2 linked regions of the Saccharomyces cerevisiae S288C genome follow. The protein of the gene in region 2 purifies or fractionates together with the protein of the main gene of each other region. This does not show direct contact. Each region holds a gene or a part of one and is shown on either strand. Other genes may lie near its edges.

What was found.
Region 1: the proteins of RTN1 (region 2) and YET3 purify together in Saccharomyces cerevisiae (affinity purification with mass spectrometry, with the first as the bait; one study listed by BioGRID). This does not show direct contact.

What each region holds. Positions count from the first base shown.
Region 1 is NC_001136.10:329,002-332,286, forward strand, and holds YET3 (Yet3p), read right to left. Parts: upstream 1,447-3,285; coding exon 835-1,446; downstream 1-834. Other genes in the region: AHK1 (Ahk1p), read left to right, coding at 1-566; BDF2 (Bdf2p), read left to right, coding at 2,023-3,285. UniProt on the Saccharomyces cerevisiae protein: May play a role in anterograde transport of membrane proteins from the endoplasmic reticulum to the Golgi. May be involved in invertase secretion.
Region 2 is NC_001136.10:928,636-931,866, forward strand, and holds RTN1 (Rtn1p), read right to left. Parts: upstream 1,723-3,231; coding exon 835-1,722; downstream 1-834. Other genes in the region: HEM1 (5-aminolevulinate synthase), read left to right, coding at 1-463; homoaconitate hydratase LYS4, read left to right, coding at 2,494-3,231.

The sequences.
Region 1 (3,285 bases), 600 kb from region 2:
GTCCACCAGAGTTGAGATTTTCTAATGAAATCAAGGAACACAATAGTATTGCTACAATATTCAAACTGGTATTTATTCAAACCAATAGAAGAGTCGTCGAAAAAATAGATTTGGCGAACATGAAATGGGGGACAATCCACGGAGGCAGTAAGTACATGAAGCCTTTACCCGTCCCGAAAGATTTGGTTGCGAGTGTTGCTAAGAACGAAAGTGAGACGAGAAACTTAGCTACCTTATGCGGTAATGGTCTAGATTTTGAGATACCGGTGCCTGATTTTAATATTTTTGGCAAATGTATGGAAGATGAGCAAGATGTAGCCAAAATTGGTAATCAGAATGTGGAAGATTTGAAAGTTACTGGGGGGCGGGAGGTGACAATTTGGAAGCAGATCCAAGATATGAAGTTGAGAACAAGGATACAAAAAATCTGTGTTTTAATTGAGACGTTCAATGCTACAGTAAGAGAATATTTTGAGTTTTCCAATCGATTAGAGCATGACGGTATATTTATAGATTTTGAAGTGAGGAAACCTAGTAGTAATAATTCTATTAATATCAAAGTCTGAATAATAGAATGAGTTACATACGTAAACGTGTAGTATTATTATTATTATTCTATTTCCTTTCCGTTTTTATTATTTATATATATATATATATATATATATATTTGGGTGTTTATATTTAGGTAGGGCATAAGGATTTACTGTCGGCATGAACCTACTTGAACAAAAAAATAAAAATCAAAAGAAAAATAATGTAGGCTTTTGCACATCGACTATATATAAATATATATATACACACTTCTGTGCAGAAGAAAAGGAATAAAACGTCAAACTAATTTATTTCTTCTTGCAACGATTCCGACTTCTCCTTTAAACGTGCAATTTCGTCATCGATGTCCTGAATTTTCTTCAATAGTTCAAAATTTTTCTCATCGCCGTGGTCATCCTTGGAAGCGCCGGATTGAGCAGCAGCTTCGGCAGTAACAGAGTCGTTCTTCTTGACATCGCTGGAGGCTACTGGAGGCGATGCTCTGTATATGTCTTTCATGGTTAAAAGTTCTATGACTAGCCCAAAAGTCCTAACGACGACAAAGGTCAAAAACAAAGTTATACCTGTCAAATACATATTCCTTTGGGCAAAGAATTTCCTAGAAAGAACCTCAATTCTATCTTGAGCGATTATAGCGCCATTATTTTGAGAGGCGCTACTTAACTGCAGCTCTTTGTCGATGCTGTACACTCTGTTGATACAATCGATGAAAAGCAAAAGAATGAACCCAAGTACACACTTGATCGCAACTTGCACTGTGGAGGATTTGAACGGCTTTAATAACAGTAAGGTGAGAGGCCTACGGTATCTAGAAGGGATTGGTAGGGCTAGAATGGAGAACATGAAAATCTCCACCACTAGAATGGCAAAAACCAAGGTGTAATATAATGACATGATTCAATTCTGTGAATTCTATGGTTATGAGTATAATGTGACGTGGTTACCTTGGAAGAGCTCACTATTCTATCTTCCTACTAAATCGGGATTTGCTATATACCATTGTTATATACGGCACTTTTCCACTCTTCTTCCCCTTAATGGAGTGAAGCAGGCAGGGTGACCCTCTAGCTAAAAAAAGAAAGAGGCGAAAAAAGAGTGCAACGTCAACAACGCTAAAAGAGAAAGGGAGAAACGCGCAAGTGTTTACGCATAGAGGGTGAACAGGAGCAAGAGCATTTTGATAGCACACAGACTTTTAATAATAAAGCGGCAGAGAATGACTCAAATAAATGCGCGATGATATTGGGAAGAGGCTCAAGCAATTCGTGAGGCGCAACCAACGCCAGTTTTTCGTTGCTCGTGCACAGTGACACGGTGGCAAAATGGTCGACGTTGGCGCTTGTTTCGGCCACTTTGTTATTCGGAAGAGATTTTATATATAAGGCGGGCGCGGTAGCCAGAAAAGAGCGAAAAAGAGAGAACGCGGAAAAACTGAAACAAACAGATTGAGCGAAATAAACCTCGGCGGCTATGTCTCGTACTAACATGGATACAAGACACGCACATTCTGCTTTACTGGCAGCACCACAGAGTGCTACTGCAAATAGCAGGAGCAGCAACAGCAGCAGCGAGAGTAGTAGTAACAAAAACAATATCAATGTCGGCGTCGGTGACGATAGCGGTAATGTCAGCGCGGTAAGTATCGACGATGGACCCCACTTCAGGGATATCTTCCACTATGGACACGAGGAAAATTACAAACTTGCGAGCAGCGGTATCACTAACCTGAATTCTTCATCCCACGCCCACCAAACTTTGTCTCCCATTTCCATTAGTAATGCATCCACTCCGGAAAGTTTTCCCGAGCACCCTTTGGGCCTAGAACGGGAAACAGAGCCGGCGTTGGAAGCTGAAATGGAAGCGGAGGAACTACCACCACACCAAAGTAAATACCTTTTAAGCTCCATTAAGGCGACCAAACGATTAAAAGATGCTAGACCGTTTCTGAAGCCGGTTGATCCTATTGCTTTGAACATCCCGCATTATTTCAACTACGTTCAAACCCCAATGGATTTGTCTTTAATTGAAACAAAATTGCAGGGCAACGTGTATCATTCAGTAGAGCAAGTCACATCGGACTTCAAAACAATGGTGGATAATTGTTTAAACTTTAATGGTCCAGAATCTTCAATCTCTTCGATGGCTAAAAGGATTCAAAAGTATTTTGAAAAAAAGTTATCTGCAATGCCACCAAGAGTTTTACCCGCTTCTGCCTTGAAGAAAACAAGCAGAAACCGGAAAAAAAATGAGGATATGGATTCCCCACTTGTCATTAGACGTTCAGTTAGTACCACCAATGACAATATTGGGGAAAGCGGAAATAGAGAAGGCGTCAGTGGTGGTAGACCCAAAAGAACAATTCATCCACCCAAATCAAAAGATTTGTTTGATATATATGAAAACTCCAAACCAAAATCAAAGACTTTACAAAAAAAATTCAGGACTTGTCTGAAAATACTAAAGGTTTTGATGAGTAAAAAAAATTCGGATATAAATTTTCCCTTTTTACAACCTGTTGATCCGATTGCTTTGAATCTACCAAATTACTTTGATGTCGTGAAGAATCCTATGGATTTGGGTACAATATCAAATAATTTAATGAACTGGAAGTACAAAACAATTGATCAATTTGTCGACGACCTCAACCTTGTCTTTTATAATTGTTTCCAATTCAATCCAGAAGGCAATGAAGTCCATTCAATGGGCAAAAAACTAAAAGAGCTTTTCAATTTT
Region 2 (3,231 bases):
GAAACATACCATGTACGTAAAGAAAGCTTTCCATGAGTTGGGCATTCCAGTTATTCCAAATCCTTCTCATATCGTCCCAGTGTTGATTGGTAATGCTGATTTGGCTAAGCAAGCTTCTGACATCTTAATCAATAAGCATCAAATCTACGTACAAGCTATCAACTTCCCTACGGTTGCTCGCGGTACCGAAAGATTGAGAATTACCCCAACGCCAGGTCACACCAACGATTTATCTGACATCTTAATCAATGCAGTTGATGATGTGTTCAATGAGCTACAGTTACCACGTGTCAGAGACTGGGAAAGCCAAGGTGGCTTATTGGGTGTTGGAGAGAGCGGATTTGTGGAAGAGTCTAACTTATGGACATCAAGCCAACTATCTTTAACTAATGACGACTTGAACCCTAATGTTAGAGACCCCATCGTTAAACAACTAGAGGTTTCTAGTGGTATCAAGCAGTAAAACAACCAATATATGCATGGGCTGAGATAGAGGTACAAGGAATTTGTAAATCAGTAAAAAAAAAAATTAACAGTTTTTTTTTTTCATTTTTTTTTTTTATTCTTATTTATGTATGATACTTTATTATTATTTCTCTTAATTATTTATTTATTTAACTAACACGATGAGCACTTTTAACTGCAATGGTTAAACTGTAGCAATGTTGGTAAAAAAGCAGGGAAAGTTCAAAAATAATTTATGTATTTTTCCTCGGGGGTACAGAAAGTAAAGAGAGAGAAACGTATGAGTATATATAGGCTAATGTAATATGTAGTGGTAAATAAAGAGACAAAAGTTAGCTATTCTTGTTTGAAATGAAAAAAAAAAAGCACTCAAGCGTTGTTTTTTTCCAATTCATTTTGCAAGTTTTTTGTACTTTTCTTCAATTCATTAGACAATTCATCGACGTTAAATTCTTGGGTAGTGGAAGGTTCGTGTTGTGGAACTTCTGGCATAACTTGAGCTGAAGATGTGTAAGCCTTAGACTCTGGTTCCAATGGAACATCAGCGGCCAACTTAGAAGTGCTGGCGGTTTGAGGACCGGCAGTAGAAGACACAGGAGCAGTCTTAGATTTGACCAAGTTGGAAATTGGGCCCAATTTAGATTCAACCTTGTCCAAGTATGGTTTTGTCTTTTCGCAAGCCATTTGAGAAAACTCTTGGGTCTTTTGCTTAGAAATTTCTACACCTTGAGCGACAGTAGCATCAATTTCATGCTTGTAGGAATGGTAGATAACTGGCAAAGTGAAGGTAAAAATGTCAGCAACAAAGACGATGGTCCAGATAGAGAACCAGGAGAAGAATTTGTGTAGTAGAAATAAGGCAACAGCGGTCTTGAAAGTGTGCTTAGGGACTTGAGCGAATACAGTCTTTCTTATGTGGGCTTGGAAGACTGGTAGCTGTTTCAAAGCTTCATCGATATGAGGCTTAATAAAGCCGGCGATATTTGGACATTCTTTAGGACCATACTTGGTGATTAAACCTTGTCCCAAAAAGAGCTTGGATACGAATTCAATAGATCCTGTTGTGAATAAGATAGTGTAGGCAACCTTCAAAAAGAAAGTGATCAAGTTAACTTTTTTCAAAATTAACAAGGCTAACAGAGACCCACCGAAATATTTACCGGTTTGAACAGGGTTCCTCCATAATAGCAAATCGCAATTACAGCTTTTTTGTTGTTGTTGTTGTTGGGCTTGGCTATGTTGAGCTGAGGCGGACATATTTGCGTGTGTGAATATATATTATATATATATACGCTTGCGGGTAGGAAGAAACAATTAAATATTTGGCTTGAGAGTTGAAAAGAAAGAGATCAAGAAAAGGGAATTGTTGAATAAAAATTTGAAAAATGCGAAGTTGAAGTGCCATAGAAGAGAAACAGCCCACACAGGGGAGAAGCCCACTGGAAAGGGGGCACTGACCAACTTTAAATAGGAAACAGAAGATACCACAAGCCAGCGATACAACAGCACCAAACACCGAAAAGAATAGCCAAAGCTGTCCTCTGGTGTTGGAAAAACTGGAAAAAACGCAACTGCGTTGGCTGCTACGGTGAAAAATTTTCCTATGACTTTTTTCACTGCTTGTTCGTGCGAAATTACCGCAAACCCGGTAAAATGTACACGTATCAAGTGATAAACAATTTCGTGTCAAGTGAGCAGAATGGAGCGATTTGGAAAAAAAAAATTTTTATTGTTTTTTCCCCCGGGATTTTGCTCGAGATGACTGAAATTTTGTAATCGATGAGTCTATACCAGAGGCAGCAAATATCACCAACATACACAGGTATACACAATCTCATGTCCACACACACGTACAGACACGCACATATATATATATATATATATATCCCCATAGGTATTTATATATACAAAAGAATCCTCGTGTGTTTGTGTGTGCAATAGCTAGTTTTGCGCTGCCTCTTATAGTAGACAATATCACTTTTTCAATAAAATAGAACTTGCAAGGAAACAAAATTGTATCGCTTCAAGATGCTACGATCAACCACATTTACTCGTTCGTTCCACAGTTCTAGGGCCTGGTTGAAAGGTCAGAACCTAACTGAAAAAATTGTTCAGTCGTATGCGGTCAACCTTCCCGAGGGTAAAGTTGTGCATTCTGGTGACTATGTATCGATCAAGCCGGCACACTGTATGTCCCACGATAATTCGTGGCCTGTAGCTTTGAAATTCATGGGGCTTGGCGCTACCAAGATCAAGAATCCTTCACAGATTGTGACCACTCTGGACCACGATATTCAGAACAAATCAGAGAAAAATTTGACCAAGTACAAGAACATCGAAAATTTTGCTAAGAAACACCATATAGACCACTACCCTGCCGGTAGAGGTATTGGTCATCAAATTATGATTGAGGAGGGCTATGCTTTCCCCTTGAACATGACTGTCGCATCTGACTCGCATTCAAACACCTACGGTGGTCTGGGGTCGCTGGGCACTCCAATAGTGAGAACAGACGCTGCAGCCATATGGGCCACGGGACAGACGTGGTGGCAGATCCCACCAGTGGCTCAGGTTGAGTTGAAAGGTCAATTGCCTCAGGGTGTTTCCGGAAAAGATATCATTGTCGCATTATGTGGGCTTTTCAACAATGATCAAGTTCTAAATCACGCCATTGAATTCACGGGTGACTCTTTGAATGCATTGCCTATCGATCACAGACTCACTATTGCTAACATGACCACCGAGTGGGGGGCTCTTTCTGGTTTG